Linked DNA regions of Oryzias latipes. The protein of the gene in region 1 interacts with the protein of each later gene in a biochemical or structural test. Links are inferred from orthologs where the notes say so. Each region holds a gene or a part of one and is shown on either strand. Other genes may lie near its edges.

Region 1 (9,860 bases):
AGAGGCAGAAATTATGGAAGTCCTACGCTTTTAGTTCATTCAAACTTTATATTCACAAGTTTATATATCACAAGTTTTGAAGATGTTCCAAACTCCTCACAATAGAAAAACTTAATTTAAGACAAAAAAAACTCAAATTGCACAAAATTATGGCTCAATTTTAAAGATTTTATTAATAAATTTATTAAAATGTTGTAAAGTTAGACTGGCATTCATTGTCTTTTTGTTTTTAGACAAAAATTTAGATTTCAGTGCTAATTTTAGATTTTATAAGGATTTTTGAACTACTTGTACTAAGATCGTATTCATGTTTTGTTGTAAAATTAGTCATTTTTTCACTGTAATCTAAATAAACTACAATTAGGTTTATAAAAACTCAAAAATACAAACCATTTGCTTAGCAAAGAATACTTGTTATTGGGCTGTATACCATTTAATTATGTCATTCTATCAAACAGTTAGCTTTTGTTCTACATGTTTGGAACTCCTTGTTTCGAAATTTTGATATCTTACACAATTTCTTATAGGGTAAAATTGACTTGGTTCATGAACAGATCATTTTAATCTCTTCTTGTGTTCTTTTCTTATTTTTAGGAGACCTCTTTTTGCAGTTTAAGGTTAAACCACCCCCACAAAATAAAAACAACCCTGGACAAAAATGTACAAAGACACAGTGGAAGTAAGTCCACACATCTGGAAGCTTCTAGATTTTGACTGGATTAATATAAATGATCATGCAAGTGAGGCGTAATCCTCAATGCATGTTGAAGATTAAGGATTAAGATTAAAATAAAAAAAGATTGAGGGCTGGAACTACAAAAATGAAGCAGATGCCGACAGCAAGTAAAATAAGAACAATGGTCAACATACGGGTCGGATGATCCTGCTGAAGCTCTGTTGGTTCCTGGTACCCCGTTACCCCCGCCGCTGATTCCGTTTGGCACGGGTCTCTTCCTGTCCGTGCCTCTGGAGATCAGGGACTGGTGAGCCAGACCAGGAACCCCCTCCATCTTGGCCCCTGCTTTCTCCGCCGTGCCTTTCAGGTCCGACCCCACCCCTGCAGATACGTCGGTGTGGATGCCGGCCTCCATCGAGAATGTTTTATTCATCACACCTGGGGCGAGAGGGAATGCACGACCCACACAGCTGCTCTTCTTGTTCCTCAGTCGAAATCTGCACGAGAAGGCGACAAAGCTTAGGACACGCTCAGAATGCTCCATGAGATATTTATGATTATACAAATAGGAGAAATTCAGAATTTGATTATGCTGTAAAATGAAAAAACCCTCACTTTTCCAGCTCGTCTTGTGTGTGTGCAAATGTACAGTTGGTTCCTCGAGGACAGCCTCCCTGCTGACGAAGATCTCGGCACATGCTGGTCTTGTACTTGCTGTTGGCCTGAGGCTACAAATCCACAAAAATGCGACACAAATTACCCGCACAGTCCTGAAAATTAATCGTAGTATTTCAATATTTTATCTGACATTACATAACCATCAGGCCTTCTACATCCTTACCCTGTGGCTGGTTTAACTCTTTAACTACACCAGTGAGGGAGTGCAGGCACTGGATAAGTCTGGAGTTCCTTCAGCATCTTTCTTTTTTTTAATTTTTAATTCATTTTTGCCTAAAATGTCATCTTTAGTTTATTTTTTAATATTTCAAAGTCAAGTAATTTTGTGGCACAGCATAGTTAGAAGTCGAGTCCTTAAATATTTTATTAGACTATCAATAGCAGTAGTAAGAACATGCAGTCACCACAGAACTGGTGAGTCTATATAAGCCTATATAATAACAACTTTTATTTCAACTCAGTCTAAAAGTGCATGCTGCTAATGTGAAGTTGCAATTTCCATCCGTTTTTGTGAAGCGTATGGATAGTAAAGCAAATCTGTATTGAATTTTCATTTTATATGTAGTCAGACTCAACTAAAATTTTATTGAAAACTTTTTCTTAGAGCTGTTGATATTCAGGAGGGTTTTATTTCACCAATCGTTTTCTACTAAAATAAAATATATCACATTTGAGCTGTATAAAAAAACATTTTTTAGTACCTGAACATTTCTTCTCATTTTGTACAGCGACTTCACAGCCTGAGAAGCTGTTAAGAGTCCACTTATGTGATGTAAGTCATCCACTCTGAATCCAATATATTTGGTTTCCAGTGTTATTAAAAAGAGATAAGGTTGCTGCAAAACTCATATTACTTCCTGTCTTTATCAAAATAAAGAGCAAAAAAAATAAAAATAATAATAATATAGAACCTGCTCACTTTTTTTACAGTAAAGTTAGACTGAAACTTTTTCCATTATTGATCACATAAATAATATTTCAAAATAAAACCAATACTTCAAAAAAGGGCATTTAAACTATTTAAACCTCAGTTTATTTATGGCTCCTGAATTTTAGTGTTTAGAAGCAAGAAAACACAACCTAGTTTCTGAAATAATGGGAAAAACCCTGCATGTGTTTAAATCTCATGAATCTAAATGAGATTAGGTGTGGTCAGACAGCATCTCCTGTCCTTTAGAACTGCCTTAGAAGCCAAGAAGGGTTTTAAGTGAGAAGTATTTTAAAGTGTTCATTAGTTTGAAAGTTGTTTGTAGCATTTGGACATTTTTCTGCTTCAGTTTACCTGTGGGGGGTCGTGGCTCTTCTTGCTAAAGTTCTGTGTGAACTCCACTAGTCCGTGAACGACCAGCTTTACCGCCAGGGTTACACTTTCCAGCTCCTCCCATGACGGCGAGGGGGCATCTGCATTAAGATTGAAAGATGCAGGCAAAATAAAATAGTGTTAAAATGGCGAAAATATTCCATCAATTTTAGAAAATTACACTAAAAAAACATATAAACAATGTGTGTTAAAGTAAAATCTTTAAAGATCCACATGTTGGTGACATTTTTCTCTCTGTTTTTGTATCTTTATCGTACTTAATAAAGGCAGAAGGTTCTCCAAAAATGGAAAAAGTGAATACAAAAAACGTTTTCATATTAATATCTGTAGTTGTCATCCTAAATATAAAAAGTGCATCCAATTTCAGCTCTAACACCACAGTATGTAAATTGTCAACAGATGGTCGGGCTTCCTAAAAAGGTTGAAACTTGAAAATGCCATACCATCATTTATTAAACACACAAACTCATTTTCATAAACCTTTCCAACTTCAAGAGTTTGAAAGGTTTTTAAAACTACCAAAAGTTATTTACAATAAAAACAGAACCCCCCCCCCCCTTTTTTTTTACAAAGCAAAGCTTACTTCCAGTGGACAGTGAATAAACAAAAACATGTTTACTTGTTTTTCCCCCCATTAAAATGATTGTTTAACTGTTGATTTTATTTATCCACTTATAAGATCTGAGTTTTTTAGTCATTTTGATTCAGAAACAGTGACATTGTTGAAGTGCTTGAGCCTGTTGAGGGTGGGTGATTACCTGGGTTGTGGTCTATGTTGGCCAGTAGCTCTAGATGTGGTCTAAGGCTTGTTAGGTTAGCAGGGTCTGCAGTCCTCTGCAGAACGATTGTCAGCTCCTGAACGCTCTTTGCAAACGACTCTGGAGACTGGAGCTACAGAAGATAAGGTCGAAGTCTGATATTCTGATTTTATGAAATCAAAGATGGATACAAGCATATACACATGTGTGGACTGTGGTACCTTATCGATGATGGACTGCATGTGTGACTTGTGAACCAGGTCTCCATACAACAGAGAGGACCACTGCTCTGGGGAGATGCGTAACCCCGCTTCCATGGCGATATGGACGATCTGCGCGTCATGTTCTCTCCTCAAGGCTTCGTAGCTACGGAACTCCTCCTTCAGCTGCATCAACGAGGAGTCCTCGTCCCGCTTCGTCACCTGATGATGATGAGGCCAGGCCACAGAGGGAGAACAAAGAGGACGAGACGCAGCAGGAGAGAGGAGAGTGGGAGGAGAGACGAGGAGGCGTTGGGATGGATGCATGAGAACTTTTTCTGACAGCTTTATCTTTGAGCTTTCTTTCAACTGCTATTCAATAAAATCGACCAAACAATTTATTAAAGTTTTTTTCTCTCAGAAGGTTCCTAAAGTGACACTTGCAATCCATAGAGTGCATTTCTGTGTGTGTGTGTGTGCGTGTGGCATCCTCAGACTCACAAACTCAAATTCAGATCAGACAAAGGGGACTCTCCCTGTTCAGAATCTGCCCTATGAGTAATCATCACAGGACGCCGACACACAAACCACAACAGCCATTAGTTATAATCTGAGATGCAATTACTCAAGCAGAACTCCGTCCTTGGAGTTCATCCGTCGTTGTCGGCCACCTTGGCTGCCGAGGCAGGGCAGAGGGAGAAAATAGAGGCTACAGGAAAATAACCCTGCCAGTGATGTCTGTTATCAAATAACAAGCCCAAAAATACATGCACTCTAAAAATGGGTGTGCAGAAGCCCATGCCCTGACTGAAGCTGCAGGATTTAGGACATTTTTAACACTGGAGAGCACATTTTCCAGCTGCTGTACTGTTTTTCTTGAGAGATCAACCAACAGTTGCTTTAGAAAAGTCTTGCTTTTGTGGCTTAAAATCAGTTCATAGTGTTCACATGAGCTTGCATAGATGTAGTCATTGGTCTGTTGTGTAGATGTGGCCCAGTTTTATTGTCCACACCTTAAAGCAGGAAGCTCTGTAGAGCAGCTGCACCACATGACCTATGCTGGTTTTCGAAGCCTGGGGGAACCGAGCCTCCAGTTTTTGGACGACAAACAAAACCAAGACCTTCCTGGACAGAGCTGAGCCATCTTCCAGCGCCAGCAGAACCAGCTTCAGGGCATCTTCCTGCATGGCTGGTGAAGAGAGGTTGGATGGAGGCGAAGAGTTGGCGAGAGATGAAAGCGAGAAGGATGAAAGTAAGGAAAAAACACAAACGCACATGAAGAATTCAGGTGAGAACCGGGGAAGCTGCATATGACAGTACTGCAAAAACAATAAAAAGGTGTCCTCAGAATTTTGTATGAACTCATTTTGTTATCAGGATGAGAAATGATTTCCCATTCAGAATCTGCCCTATGAGTAATCATCACAGGACACCAGGAAAAAGCATCAGCGTCGAGTCTGACGAGGAAACACTCACAGCCAATGAGGATTTTTAAACACAAACTAGCAACAAAAACTGGTTGTGTCTAATTGCCCTAGAAATTTCCCGTAAGTCTCTGTGTAAACCCTGTCTGCATCAATGTTCACTAGATTGGCTAATATAGACCACAATGCATTGCATTTGAATGATTTTTCATGAGGAACATTTTTTATTTTTATTTATTTTTATATCAATCATCCAAGTTTTTTTTATCATCAAAACACAGTAGATTCATAAAATACTTGTAAAATGTTCACAGTTATTAGGGTTTTACTTTTGGAAATCTGTCACATGATTTTTGGCATTAGAAAATTAAAAGTGTTGAGCACGGTGTTCAAATTGCATTAAAACTCCAGGGCACTAGATAGTTCTGCACTATACAGTTTTTTTGTAGTTTAATAGTAGGGAGGGGATTTGGGCTTAACCTAAATAAGCTGAAATGTCTTTCATTGAGAAGCTAGAATCAATTTTGGAGTATCTTACCCACTAAATGTACAACAAGCTATAATGTAATAGTGCAAAGTCCATAGGTTACAGCATAAAAAAAATAATTCTTTACCAAAAAATGTTTTTTTTAAATGTAGCCTGTTAGGGTTTTTTTTTTCTATTTGAGCATTTTAAAATACTTCATTTGTAGTATAAGAGTGTGTAAATTCTTACAAATAAAAATAAATACATATAACTTCACAGCTGCATTTGTTATTCTTTTTTCCTCATCAAGGAAAATGCTCCTCTTAGAAATCAATGTTTAATCTGTGATAAAGTTTTTATCCTAAATAAGTACTCCATGTTCTAAACAAAGTTCAACAAAAATATAAAGTTTTGTGTGTATTTTCCTATTTTTTTGGTAATTATGTAAATGTTTTCATTTTTAAAATTTGTTTCATATTGCATATATGATAGTTGGTCATTAAAATAAAATTATTTTAAAGATTTTTACTCTGATTATCCTCTTCTTTTACAAAGGTTAATCTGAAAAACCACCGTAATGGTGTGATTTAATGACATATCTACAGCAAATATCTGTTTTACACTTGTCATTTGTGACAGCTTTATTGCATTCATCATAAAGTTGTTTGTTTGAGTGTTTAAGTTTGGTTTTCATCAGCAGACACTCACCAGGTCCCAGAAACTGGCAGCCACGCGCCCTCACTGCTGCCCACAGGTTGGCAGACAGCTGCTGGGGGTTCTGGTGCTGCAGAATGAGCTCGGTTACTGTCCGCTCCCCCAGAGAGCGGCATGCTCGAACCGCCCGCACGCGGCCTTCCTCCTCCACCAGCTGACAGTTCACCAAGGTCACCAGCTTCCTTTGCATGGGCCGACTGAGCACGCTCGGACTCAGGCTCGCCACACCTGTAGTAGGGAAGTGATACCTCTTTAGGTAAACTGCACATATATGAAAGTTTACTAAAAGATATGTTTTTATTTGATATATTTCTGATTATGCTAAATAGAAAAACACATTTTTTAGTTTAGTGCAAACTGCCCTATTTCTCAAAAGACTCTGACGCTCCAACAGATTTGAATCTAAACTCCTACAGAGTTGTCAATTTTTTGCTTTTCAAAGCTCTGACATGGCAGTAAACTTAAATGATAAAACAGAAAAAAATCACGAAAGTTGCACATTTCTTAAATTGGCTGAACTTGCCTGAGTCTCTCTGCAGAGGTCACACATAGAACCTCATTTTTCTCCATTACCACTAAAGTACAGCAGCGTCCTACATAATGTGAGAGGGAAGAGGAAATGCCAAACCATGCAGCCAGTTTGACTGCAGCCCACGCACGCCAAATGTGAAGTCTCATTCCACATATATATAAATGCCAATCATGAAGCATCCTGTGAGTGCGCGCACACATGCAGTACCTTTAGTGCCGCTGATGGGCTTCAGGTAGAGAGCCAGTTCTTCCACACACACTCTGCAGACTTCATAGTGCCCAGCCTCTGCAGCAGTGCTCAGGCTCACCGGCTGAACATCAGGGACCTTACAGTGGAGGGAAGAGTTTCGAGTTTGAGTTGCTTTGCTTTTTTCTCCAGTCACCACCGGTGTACTCAGCCTTACCTGAGCTCCAACCAGCTGGAGCAGGGCACAGTTGACAGGCAGCAGGTCGATGTCTGTGCTGATGGGGGTCTGATCGAAGGGGCAGGCCTTGCGGTGCAGCTTGTGCAGGCAGGTCTTACACACTGTGTGAGAGCAGCCCAGACTGATGGGCTGGTGGCTGCTGCTGTCAAACTCATTGTAGCAGATGGGGCAGGACAGGAACTCAGTCCACTGGGCCGCCTGCACAGGCATCCTGCTGCCTAGCCGCAGGGGGATTCGCCGGCCAGCTCAGGAAGAATGCATGTCAATGTGCACCTGCAACAAGAGTGACATCGCCTCTTGTTATAAAGGACAAATGCAGATGGATGAGAAATAACACGGAAATAGGTTCAATTTCAATCCACAAGTTAAAAGTCTGATAACATTTTTGATGCATTGCTATTCACATACTGTAAGTAAAAATTCCTTTGTCAATTTTTCATTTAAAATATTTTTGTTTGTAAAAAAAACAAAAAACAAAAAACTTTCTTTGGTAAAATTATGAATTTTTATTCTAAAAACTCACAAAATGTTTTTGTTTTACCCCAAAAACTACAACAAATTGCCATAAAAGAAAACCAATGAATGCATTTTAAAGACCTAATAGTGTTTTGGGTCTTTAACATGTTCTTGTCACATTTGATGACGGAAGATTTTTCTTCATAATTCTTTATTCAAATCAATTTGAATCAGAAGCAGAAGAAAAAATGACATTTGAAGAAGAACATATATATTTGTGATGTAGAAAATACGCTGGACGGGCCACACGCTCCCTGAATCGAGCTCTCGGCAATGGGGAGGGGAAGGGGGGGCGGGGTTGCTCTGTTTTCAACGGTCTAGCCCACAACTCAGAGGCAGAATTTCCAGTGAACTCCTGCTGCTATGTAGAAACTGTGTCCGAGATTTTGGCTAAAAACCGCATAATCATAATTTAATGACCATTTGGAACACTATGGCTATAGATGATCAGCGTGGGTCTTTAGGTAAAGATTTGATTGATCTATTTGATTTATTTTTATTTAAGCACACCTCTATAAATAAATGCTGAAGTTTGTAGAAATGGATCAATATGAAAGAAGTGATCTCATGGGAAATAGATCAGAGTCTGTTATTATTTTGTCCATTTTTTTCCTGTCAGTCCCCCATTACATTCGTCACCTAGCATCCCTGTTTTAACACAGAGAAGTACTTTTATCCACTTCAGAAAATATCTGCACTCCATGTTGATGATGTGTGGCTAAAAGGTCTATGGGAGACGCCTTTCCATATGACACCCACAGAGTCCAGCAAACAGGGTCTGTACAGATGTAATCACTGAGGAGGGTGCCTTTTATCTGAACAATAAATTATATTTAGGATGGTGTGTAAAATGAAAATGCACAGCATGTCTGATTTGGCAAACAGGAATGAAAAAGCAAAACGATAAACCAATGAGAACGCCTGTGCCCAACAGCTAAAATACAAAACCCCTACTTTCCCTGAGTAGTTAGTATTAAATTTATAATGACAACTTACTTGCTTCATAGAGATTTATATTACTGGCACCACAATTAGTCATCCTTTTACAACTCTTTCTTACCATTTTTTTGGTGAACATTGGAGATAATTAAAAAAAAATTAAGTCATTCTCTGAGAGTTGAATTAATTTTAATGCATTTCAGTGCATTCTGTTTAGTGCAATCATATTAAACACTATATAAGGATCTGCTGCCACCCAGATTAAAATGTTAACTTCAAACAGTGAACTAAGCATGGATACATACTTGAGAGTCTCTTTCCATTCAATTCCTCAAAAAATAGATTAATTGTGAGCATTGTGTCCAGTTTGCTAAAAAGAATAGGCTTTACTCATTTTCCAACACACGAAAGTCCTGTGAAAACGTCAGCCCCAGCTTAGAATTTGCGTGCCGACGACAACAGAAAGGAAAGGAGAAGCAAGACTTCCCATCCGATGTTTAACAGTCCAACCATACAGCCTGTTACTGGAACAGAGATGTGTATGCAGAGAAGAAAGCGCAAAAAGGCGGTGCATCCCAGTCGTTCGTGCCTAACATGACTGTATAATGAAATTAGGAGAATCCCTCTTTAAACCACAACTTGAGTTGTTAATGTCTACAGCTTTGAATAGATAAACGCAGACAGAAACCTTGGACGTGATGGGAAAGCTGTTATCTCTTTGCTTCCGTCTTTTGTTCCCAAACACTTCATGCAGCTGCCACCGTTGAACCTTCGTTTTGTTGGTGTACGAGACAAGAAAGTTTAAGAACCAAGAGGAAATCTGGGTCCACTTTCTAAACCCAGACCCAGAGAGCTTCATGATTTTAACAACAAACAGTTTATTTTTCAAAGTACTGTATAACAAGGAGAAAGTACGATTGCCTTTGCAAGAAATATTTTTGAACTTGTCGAATTTCAAATATAGGTTAGTACAAACAAAACTTGCTGCATTTTTATTTTATTTTATTCATTCATCCATTTTCTTCCGCACATCCGGGTTCGGGTCATGGAGGTAGCTGTCTAGGTAAAGATGCCCAACCACTGCCTCCAGTCTCCTCGTCTCTAAGGTGTTCCCAGGCCAGCTAAGAGACAGTCTCTCCAGTGTGTCGTGGATTCTCCATGGGGTCTTTGCCCATTGACACATATCTAGAAAATCTCCCTGGCGGGGCAACC
Region 2 (9,860 bases), on another chromosome or scaffold:
CAGGTTAACAGATAAAACCGGTTAGATATTAAGTTCATCTCTTGGGCGTGAAGACATCAGTAGATAACAATGGTGCAAACAGAAACTATTTCCTTAAAAAAAAACACGTTGCTTTAAAATCTACAAGCTAAATTCTAATCAAAGCAATCAAACCCTTTCTGGATGCATGTATGAAAAACACAAATACTCTTTTCTGTAAAAAACTGCAGCCACTGTGGAATTCCAGAAGAAAATGAGTTATCCTCCAACCAAGTTATGGACCAAGGCAACATCCAGCGTGACGCCAAGTCTTCTAACTTTTTCTTTTGTTTTTAGACATTTTTTAAAGTTATTTCTTCAATCACAAGTCTGCGGCTCTAAGCCAGATAGAAGTTGTGAGTTATTAAAAAGGTTTAAATTTATTCTTATTCTCGCATTTTCAATAATCATCAGATGCTTTAGCCTAAAGCAGCTTACAGGTTTCCAGCAATTGAGGACAATGTGGAGCGTGTTTGCAAACGACTCAAAAACTTACCGATGACCTCCAGTTGAAAAGACGCAGGATGTAATTTTTTATTAGCAAATACTTCCACATCATAATCTCCGCTGTCTTCATACTTGAGATTTGCAATCGTCAGTTCTGCGGTATGCCAGTTAAGAGTGATCCTATCTATAAACGGGTTAAAGGGTTTCTGCTGCTGCCCGTCAAACTCAACCATTTTGTTGCCATTATGTTTCCACAGAATTTCCTCAGGAGGCTCTGGTGTGTTGATGCCCGTCTTAAAAGTGGTGCTGTTCCCCACAAGGGCATACTTTAGGGCTGCAGTAGTCACTAAGCAAAAAAACAAAGAGAGAGATTACAACAGTTAAAGTCTTCAAATAGTTATATTATTTAATGACAAATTGAGAAAACATTTGCTATCCAAAACAGTCAAAGCATCACATTATTGTTACACTTCTACAAATAAAGAAACTTTCAGGAGACGTAGCAGGTGTGGAGCAGGATGAGTTGCTGGCTTTTCTGCCTGAATGACATGCAGTGGTTTACAGAACAACCCGGTTTTCCTGAACAGAGCTGACTTCTGCATTCAACGGTGCTTGTAGGTCATATATTAGTTGACATGATCATGTTTTTTTTCCACAATGTTTACTTTAAAATATTTGATTGTTTTGCACTCCTCTTTTGGAGTGAATCACTAGATTCAAAATAATGGGACAGGAAAATCTAATTCATCATAAACCGTTTTATTCTGCATAACTTTTATTAATTATTTGTACAACATCCACCCTGAAGAACCTGTAATACCTGGCTTGAAAAGAAATTTAATGTAAAAAAAATGTATTCTCAAAATTCACAAATGTTCGTCCTTTGCTCTGTTGGTTGTTAAGAGCTTTCAGTTGTTTCTTATGTTGAGTTGATCAATTATTTATTGAATAAAAACTGCAAGGTTACAATATGGTTATACCTTGATTTAGATTTGTGGTTTAAAAACAACAACAAAATGGTTCTGTATGGGATTTTGTGTGGAAAGCCTTTTATTTTGGTAAACGGGGTGGATTCCAAAAGACTATTTTGAAGGTCAAACAACGTGAAGGTTTTATGATACAGAAACATACATGCAGTTAAACCTTATCAATGTTGCTAAAAAATATCTTATAGTGTCGCAGAGTTACTTAGAGAAAGAATAAGGAATTTTACGGAGATTTTCCGGAAATTAGTTTCTGTTCTCAGGAACTCCTGAAAAACACCATTAGTTTACTTTTCCGACGACATTTTAACAAACATGACACATCCTTTATTAAACTAATTTAAAAAGTTAGTATGAGGAAGAACTCACCCAAATTGATCAAACAAATACAGTAGGGGAGAAGAGATCGGGATTTCATGTTGAAAAAAGGTGGGTCATTACTTTCACTACGGGACTCTCAGGTAAATCCTACCGACGTTACCTGTCATGCACTTAAAAAACTCGAACTACTTTACGATTTTCTTTTCCAACAAATCAAAAATAATTAACGTTTGACTACAACAGGTCTAAAAACACAATTCTTTGGATAAAAACAAGGCAAAAGGTAAGTACTCTTCCAGTGTTTGGCGAGAGAAACACCTGAGTTTCCGGTTCATGGAATTTCGCAATAAATGTCATGGTATCGGTTCTCGTCCTTTACATTGTAGTTAAAACGTATTCAGGAAAATACATATTTATAAGTCAATTCATTACATTTTTTAATTAGACCAGGCTCAAAGGGACATGCACAAATTATGGTTAAAAAAATCAACAGAAAATGTTGTCAATGTTTAACGAGTAAAAGTTTAAGAGTTTCCGGCGGGGAATTTCATAGTAAATTTCCGGATATGTGTGGTGTCATTTATTTGTTTGTTAAAACTTCTACAAAGTTATGTAAAAAAATAAAAATAAAATAGGAAAGAGAGAGAGAAATTCGTTTTTTTTTCATCCAAGATTTGCCATTTATTGATATGATATTGCTTTAAGGCAAAACCTTCATTGATCGTTTAAAAAAGAAAAAAAAACTATTTTTTTCTACTTTTACCCTACCTAATTTTGAGGCTCCAGATAAAATGCAGTTATGTAACTCATCCCTGTCTCATCTTAGATATAATTACTACTGGTCCCCATAGTATGTTTACCTTAGTTCCCCTTTTCACTTGAGTGTGTTAACCGACTTTTGCTTTAAAGGGCCGCTGACTTTCAGCATGACTCAGGTGGCAGGTTTGACTGGTTTGCAACGTTCCATGTTGTTGTGCACAGAGATCTTGGGAATCACTGCCTTTTTGTTTTTTCCCCCTCTTCATGTCCTCCTTGATGATCTAAGCAAACATTTCTGGTGGAGGCCCCAAGGCTGTCACCTGGATCACATAAAACCGACACAGACATTAAAAAGGGGCTCATCATGACCCATCTTTTGGTTGCATGTGGAAGGGTTTTTGGACAGGGTACTCTGTACTTTTCCACATACAGAATCACTGCTATAGGTAAGTTGCTTGGTGCCACCTCTTAGCGAGGTTTTGATTTGCTTTTTGGACAGATGTTATAACTTATGAAGACATTTTTGTTTTGCTGGAGACAGAATAATTAGGTCTGTTTTTTTTCTATTTATCTAACGTTTTTCGCCCAATTATAGCCGCTACCTTCCCATCTTCCTCTTTTTGTTTTCATTTAGTAACAAAAATAAACCTTTCCATTGTGTGTCTTACTTCTGCTACCTGCTGTTCCAGAGCCACATTAACTAAGGACTACCTCTCCTCTGGTTAAAGAAAAATAAAAAAAATGTAACTTTAAAAAGTAATTGCAAAGTAAAAAGCAAAGTAAACAAATTCAAACTTTAACTCATTCGCATACATTTGATGACTGTATGTATCACAAGTCAAACTCAAATATTTTGACAGATTTTGTGCGGCATAAAACACAGAAAATCTTTTGGAGGGTCAATAAGCGCATTAGGAATTAGGGCACACCTGGTTGTATGACAGATTTTCTACTTTTGAACAAATTCAAGGATTTTAAGTGTGCCTTATGGTTCAGAAGATATTATTAGGGTCACTTAATTAGCTCTAATTTCATTTTGGTTAGTTAGATTTTCACTGCTGACATTACACTATACTATTACATTTGGTACAATGAGATGATGCTATGTACTGTAATGCAGAGGAGCTTTTATTTTGAAAGGAAGTTATGTAAACGTCTGTCAAAAGTTATAAAGTTTTTCATATTTTGAAAAAAAATAATCTTTATAATTATGTTTAATTTATGCTCTAAAAACAACAATTCATTTATATGTATCCTAAAAGTAACAATAACACAAATACAAATCAGTGCCGTACTTCTCTGCTGGGTTGTGGTCGGGGAGAAATCAACCGAAATGGCTCTAAGTGTTGAAGGCTGCAGACCCTGATGTAGACCAACTATGTTGTGGACGTAACACGTTTTTAAGAAAAAACCTTCGCAACACAACAGTTAAAATAGCTTTGTTGCTTTTACCACTGCATAAATTACCTTATACAAAAAGGTCAAAATAAAATGTAAACCTTAAGATTAAAAAACATGTATATTTTTATCTTCACATCAACAAAAACATGGTCACATGCCTCGTGCACAGTGGCAAGTCTACACTGGAAAAAATCAGTACATGCAAATGTCCCACTTTATTTTTAAACCCCATTTTGCCCCATTAGTTCCTGTTGACAGTGTTTGTCACTGGGACTCCGCTGGACGGGTTATTTTGTGTATTTGCGTGTAAGACTTCATCAGTGTCACACTGCCGTGATGGGACACTCCCATCGGTAAAACGCACTCCTCCGTCAACACTCCTTGCGTTACATCCCAGCACATGACAGTGGAGATGACTTGGTTCTTGTTGTCTCTTCCTCCGGTTATGAAGAGTTTGTTGTTGCAGGCTGCAATGGCACAACTTGCCCGTTCTCCTAGACGTGACACGAGGGTCCAGGTGTCGCTCAGAGGGGAGTAGCAGTACATGGCATTCATGGCACCACCTGGAATCACAAAATAACATTTAGAAAGGCTAATTTCAGTAAGGGTTAAATTGAAAAACTTGCATTTCTTCCAAAATATATATTTAAAGATAGTAAATGAAGTAAGCACATTTTTTTAAATGGGTTTTGTCGTACTTCGGTGATAATGTTAAAATACAAGTCACATTTTTTAAATTTTCCCAACTTAAATTGGACATGAGGCATTTTAGGGGTCAGTAGCTTGTTTGGATTTTTTTCTTTTATTAAAAAGGATTAGAAAAAAAAACATCCTCCAAATTTTTTAAATGCAGACCCAAATTCATTTTTCTACAACTACACAACCGCTTTTTTTTCTTTACAAACTTAATTTTCAATAAACTAAGAGAAACCGTAGAAGTCCTGCCTCCCAGGAAAGCTTAATTTTCTAATCATAAATGATCTGCACTTAAAAAGCAAAGAACAAAATCATGTAGAACATAGGATTGCATATGTGCAGCTTCATATATTGTATATTTCAGCATATAGTTACGTCACAGTTTTAGGCAGCAGGTGTCGGCAAAAAACCCTTTGGAGTCCAGGAAGTGTAACTTTAAAATTTTTGAGCATTCATGGTGAAATGTTTTGCATCCTGCACAAACGTGGCTTTTGCACTGTCATAAGTCTAACTGCTGTTGTGTTATTCCCCATCGATGTAGTACAATAATGTATAATTTAAAATCCCAATCACATATGAGCTTACATAAGGCAGTAAGTCATTAGAAAAATTGTCTTAAAAAATTGTGTAGAAGATTCTAAAGTCAAGTTGTGATCTGAAATGTTATGTTAGCATCATAACCTTACTGTACCAAAGTAAAAACACTAACAACGTTAATGTGTTAAAGTTAGAACTTATTTACTTTTGGATTAATTTTCAATAAAACAACAGACATTATCTGTTAAATTCAAGTTTGAAAATTGCCCAACAACCTCACAACCTCAGACATGCAGTTATTTTTTACTGTTATATTTCTTATTTTAGGAAATATAAGTCCAAAAATAACATAACCTATGTTAGCCCTGCATGAATCACTGTAAAGCAGGGTTGGCCACTGCTGGTTGTTTTCAAACATACCCTACCCTGCCATGTCCTAATTGTCTGATACAGGTAATCTTAAGATTCATTTTACCAACGCTTTTATTCATATCATAATTTGTGGCTGCCGATACAATTCATAGCCGATTTTGGTTCATTTTGAACGATCTAATTCAATGACCTAAATTCAGTCCAGGACATCTTTAGCCAAAAATTCAGTCAGTGAGACTCAGAGATAAAAACCTGTACTGAACAATGCAGGTTGAAGTTTTTCCAGACTCCTTGTACTTCTTAAAAGATGATCATCAATAAATTAAATGTGCAGAAAAAACAATAAAGTAAACAAGAATTACTTCCAAATCCATTCCCATTTTAGTTTCCCAAAGTTCAGCTGTTTTTTCACATCAAACTAATCCAAAGGGAACATTATTGGAACATTCTAGCACATTGTTTGGTCACATGACTTTGCTAAATTCAGTGTTTCCACACATTGGACTGGAATGATGGCTTGATCATTTTTTGTTGACATCACATCAAGTGTTGTCCGCTGTGATGCACTTTGTTGTTTTTATGTTATAGTAAAATAAAGATACCATGTCTCAATTCGAATGGTATTTTCCATTTTCATATAATCAATTTATTTTATTTTAAAACACATTTTTAATGGTTTAGGTTGATTCGATTAACAACTTGCCTCAGACGGATCGATCTGATTGGCTCGTAGGAATAGAAATTGATTAATCATTACACCCCTAGTAATAAGCCATGAGTAGGGCACCAAAATCTGGAAATCACACTGACACACCGACCCTTGAGACCTGGAGATGCCCACCCCTGCTGTAAAGTCATCAATAACTGAAAATAGCGACTTCCTAGATGACTCTCACACAGATGTGGGAGATTTTGTAATCATTCTGACTCATCAGAGCAACCTTAAAGGCAAACTCAAAACGGCCACTTCTGACACCCAATCATTCTCATTTTAATGAGACTGATCCGCCTCCAAAACAGGATTCTCCTCCATCCTCACTCCATTTCCCTCCACCCCGCTAACGGTCTTTTAGCTTTTAATGCTGTAATTGTCAAAACGAAACCTCACCGCAGCAAATACTGTCTAAATTGCAGAGAAGGAGGGATGCCTCGTTTAGCTTAGTATGTTTAGTTTAGTTTAGCCGTTACCTATTGAATTCTATGGCATCATGTAAATTATGATTTTATTTTCATTATACAATTACTGGTATGAAGCCCATTGAGACGACTACTGTTGTAATATTGGGCTATATAAATAAAATTGAATTGAATTAAATTAAATAGGTGAAAAGAAATGTAGCAAGTAAAAAAGTAAAACAAAAATGTTTAAAAAAATAATGGTTTAAATGCTTCTATTTGTTTATGGAAAAAGCTTTTTTACATTTACTCATAAAAGAGTTGTTTGTTAGGATCTTCAAAACAGACTAGCAAATTTGTTTAATTTTTCTACATTTGCTTACTTTTTGAGTATTTTTTGTACAAAAGATGCAAACTTATTTAAAGCTTTTGGTTTCCCCTTCTAGGTAAACCTACAGTGTTTCTGCTGTGCTTCCCCGAATGGATGACTCAGTCGTTACTGATCATTTTGAAACTGTTTGAGTGCAGGACTGGCACATGGGAAACCAGGGTTCGAATCCCAGGGGCACGATGATCTTCATCCAGTGTGGGTCTTTGGGCAAGACCCTTCTAGCTGCTGACTAATTATGTAGCCACAAAGGGGCCCAAGTCTGTGCCGGTCCCTAGCCCAGATAAAATTCAGGGTTGTGGCAGGAAAGGCGTTCGGTGTAAAAATCTTTGCCAAACAACCTGTCCAAATCAGTGAAAGCTGATTCGCTGTGGGAGATATGCAATATGAAAGTGAACAACAACCTCACAAAGAAAACCCATTGGAAGCCAAAAGGTCTCACTTCAACCTTTACAAAAATAAGACACTTGATTTGCATTTCTATTATTGTTCCTTTTATGATAAAATTAAATAATCATTTCTGTTTGCATTAATAAAATAAAGAAAGAAAGGGTTACATGACTTTGTTTCAAAATAAGACACCGTGTGCCACTTAGAATCATCTCAATGTAGCAAATATAGGTGGTGTGATGTCAGCAGTGATGGGGGGGGGGACTTTACATGGTTTGTTTTGTTGTTGTTGATGCATCTCAGCCAGACATTTGTAAATATAACTACCATAAATTAAATCAGAGGTAATTTTTGGACCACATGGTACACTTAATATCCTTAAATTTTGTTTAGGACTAGCCAGTTTGCTTAATCTGATGTGCCTTCAGTATGAATTCTGGTTGTGCTTACTGACCTATAATTGATATTGTGTGCTAAACGACGCAAAAAATGTTTCACTTTGGTAAAAAAAGCTGCACCGCTTGATGGATTGTTGGAGCATCATGGGAGCAATTGGTGTTTTCCTTCCACTGTTTGTCAAATAAAGTTTGACTCTTCTGACTTAGTTTTGATGTTTATTCCAAAAAATACGTTAGTTTTTAAGTTAAAAACATTGCATTGTTCTTTGACTACAGAGCCATAAAGGAGGGGTCAAAGAGGCACGTGTGGCTCTGAAGCCTCAGGGTGCAGACCCCTGTTTAGATCCAAACAAAACTGGCCTAAACTCACCAACGACGTAGATGCAGTTCTTGAAGGTGACAGCGTTGGTGCATTTGGTCTCAATGGGGATGGGCGCTCGCAGTTCCCAACTGTCCGTTCCTGGTTCCCAGCACTGAACCTTATCAGTGGACAGTTTTCCATTTGGCCCCCCGCCAATCACGTAGATCCATCGGTCAAAGTTTGCTGCAGCAAAGGAGCTCACACCGATAGCCAGAGGTGTCGCCTGCAGCCAGCACAGAAGAAGTAAAATAAAGAGGTCAAGGGGTTAAAGCAGGAAACTTTTTATAAGAAGGGATTGAATTCAAATAGGGTGATTTTTTTTTTCAGTATGTAAAATAGGGACAGCATTTTAAATGTTATCATGTTACCTGTGTCCATCGATTGTGAAAAGGATCATAGGCCTCCACACTTGTGAGTCTCTGAGTTCCATCAAAACCCCCCAGAACATAAACTTTCCCATTCTGAACTGCCATCTTGTGCCTCCAGCGTCCCACTGAGAGGGGCTCGACTTGAATCCATTTGTCCAGAGCGCCGTTATATTTCCAAACATCATGCTGCGTCTCTTTCCCCCCTACCGTTACAAAAAAAAAAAAAAACATCAGTGTTTCCTCTATTGCTTAACGTTTTACTTTTCAGTGCAGTCATGTTGGTCAAGGACTGTGTCCTGCTCTGAACCACAGAGCACAGTGGTTGTGATGATAAAATGTAAACATGTCTTAACGTTTTCTTCAGGTTTCGAGGACGTCGAGAGTTGTGGCAACAGTTCCTAAGTAAGGAAGCACCTAAAACCACAATAACTCTCCTCTTCCTGTTGTTTAGTTCAGCTTTCTAACTTTACCATTCAAAACTTCACATTGGACTTTCAGTGAGACTCATTAGAACCAGGAACAAGGTTATAAAGCGGCTGACAAAAGCAACAGAAGGTTTACAAATTTAGAAAATAGTCTGCTCTCACCAGATATATACACTTCATTGTGGAAGGTAACGCAAGCAAACTCCACCCATTTTCTGTTCTGGGATTCGTCCTCCATCTCCGTCATTGGCAGCCGAGCGACCTCCAGCCGGCTGCGCCTGAGAGGGTCCAAGCAGGTGACGGTGGAGATGAAGCGCTCGTCTTTTGTGCAACCTCCGATGATGAGGAAGACCTCGGACAGAAAGTGCTGCAAACGAGGTTTGGTTCGCTCTGAGACCACCTGAAAACACGGGGGTGGGAGTGTCATGGTAGGGAGACGATTGGGAGACATTTTCCACCACCTACTCCTAATACTGACCTCCCTCCCGGACAGGTGAAAGGTGCGTGCCTCTTGCAACAAAGGAAAGGCCTTACTGCAGCAGCGAATCAGCTCATCCGACTCCACTTTCTCCACAAAGTACGCGGGGTCCAGCAGTGGCAGTCGGACGTGTGAAAGCAGCCTGGCCAGTAGCGGACAGCGTTCGCTCTGCCGGGCTCTCACCCAGCTCATCAGCGCTTCGAAAACGCACTCCTCACACCTTACATCCAACTCGTCACTCTGCAGGACCGCCTCCAGAGACTGAGCAGGCATCTCCACAAAGTCCTGCTGCTGGATCACCTGAGAGAACTGGTAGGTGATGTACTCCTCCGCTGTGGTCCTCAGCTCTGGCAGGGCGTGGCTGTGGGCCAGATTCAGGATGCCAACACAGCTCTCAAGTTG

The links.
Region 2: the proteins of roquin-2 (region 1) and klhl6 form a complex in vitro, tested with the Homo sapiens proteins (2 studies listed by BioGRID, with this or other methods). The link is inferred for Oryzias latipes from reciprocal best matches to the Homo sapiens genes RC3H2 and KLHL6.

Annotation. Positions count from the first base shown.
Region 1 is NC_019870.2:15,308,027-15,317,886, reverse strand, and holds part of roquin-2, read right to left. Parts: intron 7,467-9,860; 5' UTR 7,404-7,466; coding exon 7,173-7,403; intron 7,095-7,172; coding exon 6,977-7,094; intron 6,466-6,976; coding exon 6,232-6,465; intron 4,823-6,231; coding exon 4,647-4,822; intron 3,856-4,646; coding exon 3,655-3,855; intron 3,567-3,654; coding exon 3,434-3,566; intron 2,756-3,433; coding exon 2,637-2,755; intron 1,405-2,636; coding exon 1,292-1,404; intron 1,174-1,291; coding exon 871-1,173; intron 1-870. UniProt on the Homo sapiens protein: Post-transcriptional repressor of mRNAs containing a conserved stem loop motif, called constitutive decay element (CDE), which is often located in the 3'-UTR, as in HMGXB3, ICOS, IER3, NFKBID, NFKBIZ, PPP1R10, TNF and in many more mRNAs.
Region 2 is NC_019879.2:24,289,894-24,299,753, forward strand, and holds the end of klhl6 (kelch-like protein 6), read right to left. Parts: coding exon 9,459-9,860; intron 9,381-9,458; coding exon 9,143-9,380; intron 8,759-9,142; coding exon 8,556-8,758; intron 8,411-8,555; coding exon 8,197-8,410; intron 4,493-8,196; coding exon 4,194-4,492; 3' UTR 3,952-4,193; downstream 1-3,951. Other genes in the region: proteoglycan 4-like, read right to left, coding at 515-811, 1,818-1,866. UniProt on the Homo sapiens protein: Involved in B-lymphocyte antigen receptor signaling and germinal center formation.